2 linked regions of the Rhinolophus ferrumequinum genome follow. The protein of the gene in region 2 purifies or fractionates together with the protein of the main gene of each other region. This does not show direct contact. Links are inferred from orthologs where the notes say so. Each region holds a gene or a part of one and is shown on either strand. Other genes may lie near its edges.

Region 1 (8,287 bases), on a different chromosome or scaffold from region 2:
GCACCCTCTGTATTTCTATACAAAAAGAAGAGCTGCAAACTGATTATCTTTTGACTTCTTGTGACAGCACATTTAACCAATTAAGAAATAAACTTGTGAACATTAAGACACTTATATTAAAACTGAGAGTAAAACATTAGACTAACATTTGTGTACTGTGAAGTCTCTAAGAAACTTTTCTCCTGATAGTGAAATTTAGAATACTTGATCAAAACCAAAAAAAAGGAAATGAATATTCTAAAAGACTAACCAATAATTAATCTAAGAAAAACATTTTAGGTATCCTATGATCTTTCGAGGTTAAATAACAAAATACAAAACAAAACATCTATTTAAAGACTACAAAACAAATCAGGGGTCAACTTTACATTTTTATAATTTAAGTATTTAAAACAAGCAGCATTCAAGAGATTCCTTAAAAGCCTAACATTTTCTTGCGATTCTTTTTAAAAGAGTTTTATTTATCACCTTTCACTATCTGTTGTCCTGAATTTGCTTCAGGCAAACTCCTTGTGCTAGCAATCACTACGGGGAAAAAAGTACAAGTATTTAATAAAAGAAATGAGAGTGGAGAAAACACAATAAAAATTTTAATACTTAATATTTTAAAGACTTTGACTTCACTGATTTAAGGAATGGGCAGACAAACTACAAAAAGATATTATGCATCAATGTGGAAACTTATGTTTAAGCCCTTGTCAGTTAAAACAAAATACCAAATAAAGACTACACACCTATATAATGCCAAACTAACCACTGAATTCAGTTAATCAGGAAGATACTGATAAGTCTGATAATTCTTGCAACATGTCCAAATTGAGAGGAAGGAAAGAAAAAACCTTTAAGAAGCCTGTTATATGTATTTTCTCTTCCTACCTAAAACAATAATATTAAGGGTTGGGAATTTTCCTCTTCCTCCAAGCCCAGTACAATTGGGTTCCTCCACAACAGTAATAAGTTTAAATTTCTATTTGACAATTTTAATAAAACATATTGATGTAAACCATTATCCAATTGTATCCTGACCTCAAGCGTATAACTGTCTTTCAAAATCACATGTGTAAATCACACTTGAAAGAAATTTGAAAAGATTCAACTTATATAATTACATTATCATTTTTAATCCAAAACTTACTTTCATTCTCAACATCATGTTTTTAGAATCTAGAGTTATGTTATGCTTTAAAATAAACCTCAGCCAAAAAAAAAGCTTGATACACATTACAGACTGTACATTAATGGAACAGATAAAGATATAAAGACGATGATGCTATATTTTTACTGGGCGCCACATTCTAAATTCCAGATTTGTCCTGCAATTTGTCAGTCATTTCAGTTCATCCAGTCAACTTTGTAAACAAAGGCTATAAGCCAAGTTTGATATGAGAATTCAATTAACCAAAACTTAAAGTGATCTTCATTCCCTAAACAGGAAGCAGTAAAAAGAAAAATGCCACTACACACCTCTCTTTTAAAAAGTGAGCAAGGTGATGTGTATAAAATACAGTCTTAAGTTTCAACCTCCCAAACAAATTTTTGTTTAATATTAATCAAAATAAAGCTGCAATCTTCTACATATAACGAATTTGAGATAGTGTACAAGTCTTTTCATTGTAAGGGGAAGCTTTGCTGTAAAGTCGTTTTCTAGTAAATTCCAAGTGCCCACTAAGAAAATGGAAAGTCTATGTCTTGTCACCTATTACCATCACTTAAAAATTGCTTTTTATGCAGAATTCTACGCGGTTGTGTTGCTTTTGGCCTGTTAAAGGCAAAGGAACATTATCTCTGGATTGCCAATAGTTTCTCCTTATTTGGCTAACATTGAGAGATCCCAATCGGACTACTATAAAACTTTAACATGCACAAAGCATCCATTTTGAGAAAAGTTTGTGACCAGCTTTCTTTTTTCCCACCCCCAAAAGAAAAATCAGAGCCTGGTAACCGTCTTTGAAAAGACTGCCCCGTGTTTATTCTTCTCTTTCTAACCCCAGTGCACACCCAGGACCTGGGGCTCAAGGATCTCTGACACTGCGGCAAACTCTTCTCCTACTTTAAGAGACTCTTCACTCCTTCCCGCTCCCGCGGGGGGCAAGCCCTTGTGAACGTTTCCTTACCCCATCCCCTCCCTTTTAGCCGGTGCAGATCAGCTAATTACACCCCATTTTACCCTCCCCAGTGACCAAGAGCAATAAAGAAGAAAACAGGAAATCGTTCGCTCAGGGCACTCGGCTTAGGGCTCTTGATTACTATCATCATCACCATCATCATCATCACCAACATTGTCATTTGTAATCAAGTCCTAAAGACAACAACAAATCCAATGCCCACATATCAGCCAAAGACGTCCATCTGCCCAAGCGTCCCTAATGCCCCTTGTTGGTCGTTTTCTTCAGCATCTCCCGTCCTCCCAGTATATCACTGACATGGGGGCCCAGGCACAACCACCCACCCCACAACCCTCCCGGTTTCGACCCCAAATCCCAGACGCATGTCCACATATGGCCCTGGAGCCCCAAGCCGACCACAGTCCCTTTTCCCCTCTGCCCCGGAAATCAGCCGGTTCCCAACTCCACCACCAAATGGTCTGAAGGGGGCCTCGAGCCCCAGCGCTCTTCCTCCACCAGTTCTCTCCCTCCTTCCCTCCCTCCAACGCGAGCAGCCGCCCCCTCACCCCGCAGTAGGGAGTCTCCTGCCGCCCCCAGCCTCAGGGAGCCCAGAGCAGAGGGGAGGCCCCGGCGCGAGGCCGATGAGGACCCGCACGGGCAGAGAGCAGGCGGCGGGGCGCACAGACCTGGTGCAAGGCAGTGAGTCCGTCCACATTGGCGTAATTGATGTCGGCGCCGCGATGCAGCAGCTTGAGGACCTCGTCCGTGTCGCCGCTGGAACAAGCAGCCAGGAAGACGGCGCCATCGTCGAACTTCACCTTGGTCTTCTGGCGCTTCACCACAGGAGGCTCGAGGTCCGTCTCGGAGCCGATCCAGCGCTTCAGCTGCTCGTTCCGCTTCTGCTTCGCGTCCGCCATCTTCATCCCCTCTCCTGCCGCCGGGTCTTCTTATCACGAGGGGGGGAAGGGGGAGGCGGAGAGGGAAGCGAGGGGAGGCAGGGGGTGTGTGACTGTTTCTATGAGTGCGGGCCGGAGGAGGGCTGGGAACCGGGAGGAGACGCTCGAGACTTCCAGTATCCCACAGAGCACTGGGGCGGCGCGCCCGGCAGAGCGGACCTCCCTTTCTACCACCGAAGCCCTCCCGCCCCCAGCCGGCCACCCGTCACCCGCGGCCAATCTAACGTAACTTCGCGAGATCCGGACAGGGAGGCGCCCTTCGGCCAGTGCGCATGCGTCCTAGGCCTGCGCCCGGCCCAGGAAGAGCGCTGCCGCGAACTGTGGTGGGGGCGGCCGGGCCACCGGAGGGAAGCGGGTGTGGTCCAGTCCGCCCGGGCTGCGGGGCCTGGGACCAACCTGTATGGGCGGAGACAGGGAAGGGAGGTTGTCCTTCCCCGCTGAGGGTTCCTGAGGTTCCGGAGGCCAACAGTCGGGCTGTGAGGCGGCTCTCTCCGGGGCAGTCCCGTCTCCGGGGTAGTCTCAGCTCTGCCGAGCCGTTTGCTCAGGGAGGATTTTCCTATTGGCTGCGTTATTTGAATAGAATGGAGGATAGGTTGTGAATTAGGCGTTTGTGATTTCTCTAAGGAACTCGGACGAACGCTCTTTTAAAAGTGGGGTTTGTGTACCCGAAGGGCTTTGGTGCTAGCCAGATCTGGGCCGATGTGGCCGCCTGGTGACAAGGGTTGACCTGCGGTAATTGTGATTTCCTCCCAACCTCCACTGTAGAAACGTCTTTCCTCTTACGCTTGTTTTGTTGTTGTTGTTGTGGCTTTGTTTAGTTTTTTTCTCTACGCGTGTTTTGGGTCCTCTTCCCTTTCCTTCAGCACTTGAAGCCTGTCGGGTACTACCCATTAGCTTAGTTCAGCGTTGTTAGTGGTTCTGACCTTTTAAGGGATTTCTGGTTCCTGCTTCATCGCTTTCTAAGGATGAGTAAAGACCCAGCAGCTTCTAGAGTTCAAAAGGAATGTTAATATTACGCAATTAATTCAACCGGTGTTGAATACATACTGTGAGCCAGTCATTGTTCTAGCTAGGCACTGTTGATAGGATGAGAACAATGACATAGTTAAACCACCTTTGAGGTCACGTGTTCAAAAAACGTTGTAATTTATAGTAATAAAAAAGGCTTTAATTTTGTCTCGATGACACGACGCTTCCCCCCCACACACACGATTAGTAACAAATACTAATGTCTTTTGAGCCATCTATTTGTAATCACCAACTGATATTCTAAACGTTCCACCATTTTCATCCACTATTTTTCAGTAATAAATACAAGGGTACCATTGAATGGAACTTGAGGGATCACCTAGACTGAGTCCCCAAAGAATTAATTTTTTACTCAGCAGCAGGATTAGGAGTCCTTCAACAAATATTATATGCACCTGTAATGGGTCAAGCATTGTTCTAAATGCTGCAGATACAGCAATGAACAATTAAGCTTTTTCTTATTCTTCAGTAGACTACATTGCAAGCTATCATGTTAAGAAATAAAATGACAGTAGACTAGGAAACCACTTGCCTGTAAGACTGAATTTTCTGAACTGCAATTACTAGGATAGTAATAGAACCTAAGTTAGGGTAAAAATATTTCCTCTGAAAATGTAGAAATAGAAAGTGTGACGTGCGTAAAATGCACCAATGGTAATATCAGACCTTTGAATAATGATGGTGTTAGGTGGTGGTGAATTCTGTCAGCACTAAAATACGAAATTCCTATTCATTTAAAAAAAACTCCAGAATACAGCTCTTAGCATAAAAGATGGGACTTGGAGGATTGCCTCATCAGCTCCTCCATTACCTAGAAAAACTGACAGCTCATCCTTACTCTTTCCCAAGAATGTTGTGGTTTACTTGGTAGTTCTTAAAAGGGCCCTGGAATATAGATTGGTATGTCAAGTTTTCATTTGAGCAAGAGATTGGTGGGAAGTGTGCTATTTCAGATTCAAGCACTTCAGGATGTAAAATTAATAAAACAAAACAGTTTTTAAATAAAACATAAACAAGTATCAGTTCCCAAAGGCTACGAGTCAAAACGTTTATCAAACAAAACAAAAACCCACCTGGGCTATTAATGTATGCAAGTTTCACTGAGTTTAGCTTTCCTTCCCCAGCTCTAAGGGTCTATGTTCATCTTAATGGCCAGCTGCTTGGGTTTCTTAAGGGAGGATTGTAAAAAAAAAGTTATTATTAAATTAATGATACTAAAGACCTATGCCTAATTCCTGAGCAGGCAAAACTTTTTATTTAAAAAACACCACCACATTATCTTAATAGCCTAGTGAACTTAAAAATTGAAGCAGAAGAAGAAATTGAGAAATGCAAATATTTTCATTTCCTAATGGTCTCTAAGTAGATTGGGGTGTGAGGACACTTTTCAGCACCTTTCAGGCAAATTAATCCTTAAAATAGAAGTGCAAATTAAACTGTATTAATTTGCTAATTGTTTTTCTTTGTTGCAGCACATCATTAATCATGTTGGGGTATTTACTTATTACAGCCAGAAGGTTGTCAGAAGAGGATCTGCCCGTATCTTTTTCAAAGCGTAATTATACTATGGATATCCCCTACTAACCATTAAGTTACTTGTTAATTATGATCAATTTGAAGACTTTTTAATTAAATCATAACTTTATTTTAAATGCTCACACCTACAAAGCTTAAATTTTTTTTCTGTGCTCTCTGTCTGATGTACCATCACCTAAAGTGTCCATCATAATATGGCAGTATACTTACAGTCAAGTTTATTATTAGCTAAACAACTAGAGAATATAATACAAAATCTTGTGTGTGGATGGCCTTAGCTTAGTACCAACCTATGCAATGTGGAGATTTATTTATTTGTTTGTTTATTATTGAACCTAAACTTGAAAATACCTGATTTGATTATGTAGCAATATGTGAACACAGGATAAGAAAAGGAAAAATTTTAAGTCAACCAAGTAAAAAAATAATAATTTCACAGTTAGTCCTTTGTCTAGTACAAGATTAGTTATTTGTCATTTGGTAAAAACCTTTTTTACTTGTAAAAAGAAGTTAGTCTCTGTTATGTTATAAAGAAAATAGTTAAGAGCTCCTGAGATCTAAGTTGTTTCTTTGCTTGTTTGATTGATAGCTCATTGCTTTGCTGACTGTTACAATCTTTATAAAATAATAATAAAGGTATATGTCATTAATACAAAATAATATGCCAAATTTTTTTATAAACCAACTTTCTGTTCAGTACATCTTTTTTTTCCCATTAACTTTTTTTTTTCCCATTAACTTTTATTATACAGTTGGAAATGTATTTAGGTACAAAGTGTACATAAAATATTGATAAGTGCTTTTAAGTCATATATTTAAGTTCTCCTCATCCCTAATTCAAACCTTCTAATTTACATTTAAGACTGGAGAATAGAATAGTCAACAAGGCATTGGTCTTATCTCCTGTACTCTACTACATCTGGGCTAGGCTCTCTTACATTGTACAATGATTTCTTTCCAATGTTTTTTAGGAAACTGAAGAAAAATTTTTAATCTGCTAGCATTCTAAGATACTCAGTCCCACCCAAGTTGTTGACTGGAACCAACACTGAACCACCCTAAAATTGCTTCAGACTCTACTTTTAGACCAATCCTGATTTCTGGATCATAGCATTTAACTCCTTGCCTTGCCCCTGGGTTACAAAGTCAGCCTCACTCCCCAGACCTAGTGGTTCCTTCCACAACTCTGAAATTCAGCTGGTTTTTGACTCTCCAGGGGAAATTCTCTGCCACATCTGGCTTCATCCCAAGAACTTAACTCTAGCAGTTGCTTGTGGCTGATATTCCCATGAAGCTCCCTGGTCCCCACAAACAGGGAATCAGATAAATATCTGGCAACAATCCCTAGTACAAGCATGGTGCTAAAGAGACGATAACTTGCCTCTAATGCACATGACTTTCAACCTGTGTTATTCAGTGTCAGAACATCATGTGGCCATCCATATGAATCCCTCAATTTAGTGTTTCCCAAGCTGTCACAATTTTTGCCTGATCTAGGGAACACAAATATTATTAATTAACAAATGCTATTATCAATTAATAAATATTATTAACCTTTTAAAAAACTTAAATAAATTTTTAAAAATAGGTTTATTTTAAAAGGAAACATTATGTCTTTCATAAAAAGAAAACATTTCCAATTGACATAAATAAAAGAAGGACCTTGAAAACAGATGTAATGAAAACAAAACAGTGTTATTCTGGTTAGATACACTATCAAGGATCTGAGCCCAAGGCCGGCTCTCAGTTTGTTAAAAAAAAGGAAGATTGGTAAGGGTTGGACGCATTAGCTTCAACCTGATATTTTTCTGCTTAATATAATCAGGAAGATTAAAGGGTACTGAAAAAAGAATAGCTGTTTTGCTGAGTGGCTTCACTGGTATTTTAATATCCCATCTGTCTAAAATTACCTCATGTACCACCAGTCTACATGTCCCACACTTTGAAAAACACTGGCTGACTTTAATTACCACGTATAATAATTATTATAATTAATGTAGTGAAGGTTACAAGAAAGACCTTTGTGACACACCCACCTTGGCGGATCAAGGCAGGCCATTGGAAGGCCCATTTATATGAAAGTATCTATGAGCTCTGAGAGAAAACATGAAGGAAACTTTACAACTAAGAGGCATCTGCCATAGCACTGAAATTGTAAGAAAAACTAAAAGCTACTCCAACATCTACAAGGAGAATTTTGGTGTATGAACTCCATCTCGGAACACTAGCTTTAGTCGAGGGATTCATTCAAATGTCATTCAACTCAAATCCTAGGAAAAGCTTCTAAATTCTTCCAGAGACCAGAGTGCAAAAACAGAGTAGGATACAACTGAGAATAAATACATGCAGTGGTCACAGACACAGCATCGCTGGTAAAGGCTATGCCCAGTTTTGGCAGGTGGAAATACTATCAGCTTCATGTGGTGGTTTTAAGATTAAATGAATAATGTGTATAAGGAAGAAAATAAAATTGAAATTTTGTTTGTTTTCTTGTATTTGCTTCTTTTCCTTCCGCCATTTTAGCTGAGAGCAACTCTGCTTCCTTGCCTCAGGGTATGTTTGCAGCAGGGAAGAAAGCAGAAGTTGCTTTCAAAACAGGTTCCTTCCTGGCTTGAAGTGGCCACCCCCAAATTTCTATTTAATAAGTTTAGGGTTAGCAAT
Region 2 (7,554 bases):
GACCTTTATTCAAGAGACCAGATGGGTTGCCCAGGATCCGGCTGCCAGCCCTGAGGCCAAGCAAGGCTGGAGACCCACAACCTGGCCCTGCTTTGCCCTGAGCTGCAGCCTCAGCCCCAGGATCCTGCTTGCAGCCACCGAGGCACAGGCAGGGGGAGCCCTGGGGGATTGGACGCTGCTACTGATTCATTAAAAAAAAAAGAAAAATACACCAAGGCTCCGTGTTCCCTTGATGGGTAGGCCCAGGGGCCAGTGTGACCCCCACGGCTGTGAGATTGCTGCACAGTCCACCCTCGGGGGCAGACAGCGGGCACCCACAGGCTATTTCTTGGCTTTGGCGGAGTTGCGGGGTGGGGTGATGGGCCGGCCGCCAGGGTTCAGGCCACTGAACTGCCCATATTTCCCCTTGTTCTTGTCGGCGGGCTTGAGGATCTAAGAGAGAGAACTGGTCAGGCTCACGGGGCTGAGCCATGGGCCACCAGCCCCTTCCTTCCCCACCCCTACCTGGAAGGAGCACATGAGCGTCTCGTCCACACTCATCATGGCGCCTGCATTGTCAAACTCGCCACAGTAGTTGGGAGCTGAGAAGAGTGTCACCAGCTGCCGCTTGGCAAAGAACTCATAGCCATCTTCTACGACCTGGATGAGGACGGGGCAGTTAGTTCAGCAGGTGCTGGCTGCCCAGGCCCCACTCCCACCCAGACCAGAGCTCCCAGCCCACCTGGTGTGCCCGGCAGATGAGGTCCAAGTCGTGCTTGTGCAGGAACTTGGCCACCACCTCAGCCCCGAAGGTAAAGGAGACACCACGGTCGTTCTCGCCCCAGCCCTGCACATCCTTGTCAGGGTCAGACCACAGCAGGTCACATAACAGCCCCTGGTCAGGCACATCTGTGGGCCGCATGATACGCCTAATCTGCTCCATAGACTGCAGATCCGGGGAGAGACCTGAGGGACACGGGGCAGGTCACTTCCTCAAACAAGCCTCAAAACAAGGGCCACCCTCCTCCAGAAAGTCTTGACCAATTAGCTTCTGCCTCCCCCCACTACCACCTGGCCCTCTCCTGGACTCCTGGAAGCCCAGGTCGGCAGAACTCACCGCCTTAGCCTGTTTAAGTCCCTGCCCTCTAGGAGCGCAGAGCTCCCTAGAGAAAGGAAACTTCTAAGTTCCACGCACAATGCTGAGGCCACAACAGCAGAGAGTACAGCCTAACACTGGCGAGGGGGGACATCCAAGCCCAGACCCCAGGGAAAGCTGTTCCAGGTGACTGGGAACACGTCCTCCAGCAAACAGCCTCATCCCGAGGTCCCCAGGGATGTGGCTGGGCTTTTCCCAGAGCCGTCCTCACCTCCATGGCAGCAAAAGATCTTCTCGTCCACAATGGCCGCGATGGGCAGGCAGTTGAAGCAGTCGGTGAAGGTTTTCCAGAGTTTAATGTTGTAGCGTCTCTTGCCTGCCCAGAGGAAGGAGATGGCTTGTGAGGCGGCCTGTCCATCCAACCCACAACAGGGTTGTGGGCCCCCCAAGGCCTCCCAGACACAGCTGGGAGAGGAGCGTGAAACGCAAGGGAAACCCACTGCCTACCAGCTTTCCAGGAGGAACCCCCGAGTTCCAATCCGGAACGTCAGGGTTGGCACCCACCTCCACCCTGTGAGCGGGGCCAGGCCAAGACCAGATCTGGTTAATCTCAGCTTCTGGCCAGCAGAGTCCAGGCCACATAGGCATCCTAAGTGCTTAAGTAACGGATGTGCGAGAGGGAATGTTACCAGACAGGACCCTGTATTACACTGTGGTCGGCCCTTCCTGAGGGCCAGGCCCCATGGCAGCAGAGCAGGAGGGCAGTCGGGCAGGGCCCTGCCTTCCCCACACTCACAGTCTAGCAGGTTATCTGTCAGATGCCGATACTCCTACCACCAAGTCAACGCAAGGGTCCCACCAAACAGTGGGGAGAGAACTTCAGGCCTCTGGCAGCCCCAGGCACGCAGCCCACTCACACTCATCATAGAAGCCGTAGATGCGGTTGATGCTGGCACACTCGTGGTTCCCACGGAGCAGGAAGAAGTTTTCGGGGTACTTGATCTTATAGGCCAGCAGCAGGCAGATGGTCTCCAGCGACTGCTTGCCCCGGTCCACGTAGTCCCCCAGGAAGAGGTAGTTGCTCTCTGGAGGGAAGCCACCATACTCAAACAGCCTTAGAAGATCATAGTACTGGCCATGGATGTCACCTGTGACCCAGGGAAGCAGGTCAGCACTAGGTGCGGGATCTAGACTTGAACCCAGGGCCAGGGTGGGCTCAAGAGAAGAGGGATCCAGGGGTTGGGCGGAGGGGGGGGCGAGGACACCTTCAGGAAGCAAAAGGGCCTGGGCAGGGGTCTCACCGCAGATTTTGAGGGGTGCCTCCAGCTCCAAAAGAATGGGCTGGCTCAGGAAAATCTCCCGGGATTTGAGGCACAGACCACGGATCTCATTCTCTGTCAACTGTACATTCTTGCCAGGCCGCGAACCCTGCACTGGAGGCGGAATGGAGCGTCAGGACCCTGGTTCCTCAGACAGGAGGGTGGGCGGCACAGGTGCCCCATGGGCACTTCTAGCGGCGCCTGGGCCTCCTGGGCCCCTCCTTGCCCCGGGAAGCTGTTGCTGCTTAGCCTGCCAGGACGGGACCCCAACTACCCTTAAGGTGCTCGAGGGGATTGCTGTGCGCAAGGGCCGAAACCCCCCAACGCAGGACCCCTTTCCGGGGGTGGGGGGGACAGGCTTCTTAGATTTTTCCCTCACCCCAAGAGCCCAGGCCAACTGGTGCGTCCCCGGTCCAGAGGAGGGGGCTGCTCCCCGTGCCCGAAGGGCCCCAGACGCCCCCAAGGTGCGCCGCCAGTGGGGGGGCGGCTGCGGCCGCGGAACCTCGCGGCCCGTCCCCGCCCAGTCTAAGCTAGCCCTGGGAGGGGCAGGCCCGCCCGCGCGCAACTTCCGGGCCGAGCCGGGCCGGGGGTTAGGGCGAGGCGGACGCTGACCTCCCACACCCCAGCCAACCTTCCAGTAGGCGCCCGATGATAGAGTCCAGATTGAGCTTCTCGCTGTCGGACATGGCGGCTCTGCCGCTCCGGCCCAGCAGCTCCGGGCCAGCTCCTGCCTCCCGCCCTCCGATGCCTCCTTCCGGCCTGTCGCTCCTTCCGCCCGCCCCGGCCCGCCTCCTCGGCCGCCCGCCCCGCCCCGGCCCGCCCCACCCCGCTGGCTTCCCTTGCCTGCTGCCCCAGCTCTCTAGCGCCTCCGCTGGACGCCATGCGGGAGGCGGGGGCTCGGTGACGGGGCGGTACTTTATGTGCCTGGGGCGGGGCCTGGTCGGTGGGCGTGGTTTTGTGGGGTGAGGTTGAGTCTGGTTCCGCCCCTGAGAATTACTCAGCCTCTTTCTGAGAATATAGGACCGGAAATACTGTGGAAGTTGTTTTTCTCTTTCACAGGCGGAACAGCCGAACTTCCCACCTGGCGTGAGCACGTTAATCATAGATTCCCCAAACACTGTGGATTAAGTCCTCAAAGGACAGAAAAGGAAACTGAGGCTCAGAGATAACAAGGGGCTGGTCCAATACCTGGCCTCACATTCACAGAGGACCTCTACCTCCTGCGTCTTTGTGGCCCCCGAGGTGGCTGACCAAACCCAGGCAGCTTCCATAGAACTCCGAGCCCATTTTAGTTCATACTGCCTGTGGTGCAATCTAAATTAATTTTTTAAAATCCCATCCTTGCCTGCCTTTGAGTAGCACAAACTGCATTGTGAGCATGTTAAAAGTATTACTTTCTAAAGAGCAAACATTAAATAAACCATAATTCTCATTGAAACCCTGAATTGAGTGTTTTATATGCCAGTATCCTCCACAGGAGGCAGCCTGGCCTCTACCTCCAGCAGTCCCTGGTCCCATCAAGCCCGGCACAAGAACCCAGGGTACAGGGTTGGGTTGGTGGGAGGAGCCCATAGCCCAGGGGCACTGGGGCAGGCCGGAAAAGCCTCAGAGAGGAAGGGGTAACCCCCCCACACACACTGGGGAGGGGCCCCCCAGTGGGTAGCTGAAGCTGTGTCTGAGGAGGAAGTGAGAGGAGGAGGTGAGGTGCTTCTGGGAGGTAAGCTGGGGTGCTGGGCCAGGGGCTGGGTCTCTGAACAGAGGCCTGGCCTTTCTGCCACTTCAGGGTCTAACCCCCTCCCACCAATAGAAGTGGGGACACAAGGGGCTTGTTGAGATACCCTGAAACCTCCTCCCTTCAACCCCACAGCCAGGACCTGAGGCTGAGGACCGGTTGGATGGGAGGCCAGGCCAGGAGCTGCCTCTCTCACTGGTTCTCCCATCTTGCAGCCTCTTTGTTGCATCAGGGGTCTGGGGCACCATGGCCCAGGCCCTGGGTGAGGACCTGGTGCAGGCTTGTGAGCTGCAGGATGATTCCAGTTCTTTGGGGTCTGACTCAGAGCTGAGTGGGCCCGGCCCATATCGCCGGGCCGACCGGTATGGCTTCATTGGAGGCAGCGCAGCAGAGCCAGGGTAAGTGGGGAAGGAATGGGGGTGGGGGAGGTCCTGGATTGAAGATAGGGGCTGAGAGCTGAATTCTAGAATGAGGCCCAACCTCAAGGGTCCTGGGCGGGTCTGGGGACTTAGCAAGTGTCACCCCTCCTAAGGCTGGCAGGACTGGGCCGGGGTGTCCTTGTCTCTTTACCCCCAAACCCCAAGGGTTTGGACCCACCTTGGGAACTGAACATCCTTTCCCTTTTAACCTCTGGCCCAGGAATCCCAAATCCAAATCACAGAACCCACACTTCTTTCTCCACCCTCCCCCTTTCCCAATATACAGACAGGATAAAAAGTCCAGAGACACGAAGGAACTTGCCTGAGGTCACACAGCAGATCAGAGACTGAACCAGTCTCAAACTCAGTACTCCTGGCTTCTAGTACAGGGCTCAGTCCACACAGCTTCCCCTGTGAGTTGTCTGTGTCCCTATCCTGGGGGACAGCCAACCAGCCCCTCCCCCAATGCACACCTACACACCCCTTTCAGTCTTTCCTGCTTCCACCCACATTGGAGCCACATCCTTTCCTGTCCCCATGACAACCACTGGCAACTCTTGGGTGACAGGTCACCCCCCAGGGGCTCACTTAGGTTGCATGAGGGTGGCAGATGTGGGCTGTAGGTAACAGCTGCCTGGCGCCTGGATGTCTATGCCATGTGCTCCCAGGCCTGGTCACCCTTCTGCAGACCTTATCCGTCAACGTGAGATGAAGTGGGTGGAGATGACTTCACACTGGGAGAAAACCATGTCTCGGCGGTACAAGAAGGTGAGGGGAGAATGGCCCCACCCAGGCCGTCTTGGCTTATTCTCCTTTGCCTCAGCCCAGGCCCTGGCAAAATTTAGTCCCCTCCTGTGTCCTGTCTTTTCTCCCTACCACCCAAAGTGGCCCTTGCCTGATGCTAAGTTGTGTTTGGGGCCTGCCAGCAGGAGCAGGGGAGGCTGGCCCTGCTGGCCTAATGGGGTCCCTTGGCCTCCGCACAGGTAAAGATGCAGTGCCGGAAAGGCATCCCCTCAGCCCTGCGTGCCCGGTGCTGGCCTCTGCTGTGTGGGGCCCATGTGTGTCAAAAGAACAGCCCTGGTATCTATCAGGTATAAGAGTTGGCAGGGGTTCCCCCCTTTCCAGAGCCCCTCGCCACTTTGAGCCCTCCCACCTACCTTCCTGCCTACCCACAGGAACTGGCTGAGACTCCGGGAGATCCACAGTGGATGGAGACCATCGGCAGGGACCTGCACCGCCAGTTCCCTCTGCACGAGATGTTTGTGTCTCCCCAAGGTCACGGGTACGAGGCCAGTGATGCCCAGGGACCCCCAGCCTCACAACCCCAGGCATTTTGGCCCAGCCCCTCCCCACCCCAGCTTTATGTCTTTGCATCTCAGGGGAGCCAGCAAGGCTGGGGGTGGTGAGGCTTGGGCAAAGGCTGCAGAGAGGGGAAAGGGATGCCAGGAGGACTGATCCCTAATGGGGTCTTCTGGCACAGGCAGCAGGGGCTCCTGCAGGTACTCAAGGCCTACACCCTGTATCGGCCTGAACAGGGCTACTGCCAGGCACAGGGTCCTGTGGCTGCCGTGCTACTCATGCATCTGCCCCCAGAGGTGAGTGCCCTTAACCCTGTGCTAGGGGCCCGAAACCCTGACCCCCAACCCCAGTGACCCGTGACTCCCAACCCCAGGGACTCTGATGTCAGGAACCTGGGATCCTTGACCCCAGATCCTGTCCTAGTGACCCAGGGCTTCATGACTGCCAGCCTCAGTGACCTTAAAGCCCAATGACCTGGACTGCAGGAACCTGGGACCTTTGCCCCTTGCCCCTTGCCCCAGTGAATAGGAGTCTGCATGTTATCACCTTGACCTCCTGACTCCTGATTCTGAACCCTGTCACCATGATCCCTAAACCAATGACCCCAAGAACCCAGGACTTGAGCTTTGGGATCCTCCCAACCTTTGACCAGTGAGCCTCGATTCTGTGACCCTCAAATTCAACACCCTGAGCCCTGTGACCCATGAGCAGGGGAGGCTTTTGGTAAGAGCGCCCCCAGGTCTGAGTCCCGGCACCTAGATCCACAGTCACTGCAGATGGTATCCAGGCCCTCCCCTGCACCCTTTCCCCCTGCCCTGCGGTTCCCCTTGTGGCCCCTCCATGGTGGGCACTCATGGCCTGTGCTCCACCTCCAGGAGGCCTTCTGGTGCCTGGTGCAGATCTGTGAGCTTTACCTGCCAGGCTACTACGGGCCCCACATGGTAAGAGTCTGGGATGAGGCCAGAGGGCACAGGGGGAGGGGCTGGGTGGATGGGTGGGTGGAGGCCTGGGGACTGAGCGGGGCAGAGCCTGCTGGGCTTTGGGAGTGGAGGTGCTGACGGACATGGCCGCAGGAGGCTGTGCAGCTGGATGCTGAGGTGTTCATGGCCCTGCTGCGGCGGCTGCTCCCGCGTGTGCACAAACACCTGCAGCAGGTGGGCGTCGGGCCCCTGCTCTACCTGCCCGAGTGGTTCCTGTGCCTCTTCGCCCGCTCCCTGCCCTTCCCCACAGTGCTGCGCGTCTGGGACGCCTTTCTCAGTGAGGGTAAGTGGGCAGCCTCCAGCGGGCAGGGGGGCTGGGCTGGAACTCTGGGGTGTTTGGTGTGCACAGGGAATGAGCCCGACAGCTCTGCTCTGCCCTGCCCGCCACTGCCAATCCTGGCCCTGGGTCTAGGTGCCCGGCTGTGCTGAGGGTGATGCCATCCTGCCAGCTCTGGGGAAACAGCCCAGCCCCAGGCCACACACCACCAGCGTAATGAATGGTAGCCCGTCCCCTGTGATACCACCATAGGCAGGGCAGCCTCTGCCTGGGGCCAGAGAACCTTCCCGAGGTAGATGGGGCAGGAGTTGGGGAGGTGACCACAGTGAAGTGGCTCAGGGACTGGCACAGTGGGGACACAGCCAGTGGTTAGAGGCGCTCATCCCACAGTCCACAGGCACTTGGTGAATTCTCACTGGTGCCAAGCGCTGCTCTGGACACTGGGCCCACCTG

The links. Proteins that work in one complex are often made in the same cells at the same time.
Region 1: the proteins of PPP1CA (region 2) and PPP1R12A purify together in Homo sapiens (affinity purification with mass spectrometry; 3 studies listed by BioGRID and IntAct, with this or other methods). This does not show direct contact. The link is inferred for Rhinolophus ferrumequinum from reciprocal best matches to the Homo sapiens genes PPP1CA and PPP1R12A.

What each region holds. Positions count from the first base shown.
Region 1 is NC_046293.1:73,598,132-73,606,418, forward strand, and holds the start of PPP1R12A (protein phosphatase 1 regulatory subunit 12A), read right to left. Parts: upstream 3,228-8,287; 5' UTR 3,029-3,227; coding exon 2,792-3,028; intron 1-2,791. UniProt on the Homo sapiens protein: Key regulator of protein phosphatase 1C (PPP1C). Mediates binding to myosin. As part of the PPP1C complex, involved in dephosphorylation of PLK1. Capable of inhibiting HIF1AN-dependent suppression of HIF1A activity.
Region 2 is NC_046294.1:4,830,300-4,837,853, reverse strand, and holds the start of PPP1CA (serine/threonine-protein phosphatase PP1-alpha catalytic subunit), read right to left. Parts: upstream 3,171-7,554; 5' UTR 3,081-3,170; coding exon 3,026-3,080; intron 2,509-3,025; coding exon 2,377-2,508; intron 2,224-2,376; coding exon 1,993-2,223; intron 1,452-1,992; coding exon 1,347-1,451; intron 946-1,346; coding exon 722-945; intron 640-721; coding exon 505-639; intron 433-504; coding exon 322-432; 3' UTR 1-321. Other genes in the region: TBC1D10C (carabin), read left to right, coding at 4,373-4,524, 5,214-5,313, 5,529-5,636, 5,721-5,827, 6,026-6,140, 6,720-6,785, 6,918-7,107. UniProt on the Homo sapiens protein: Protein phosphatase that associates with over 200 regulatory proteins to form highly specific holoenzymes which dephosphorylate hundreds of biological targets.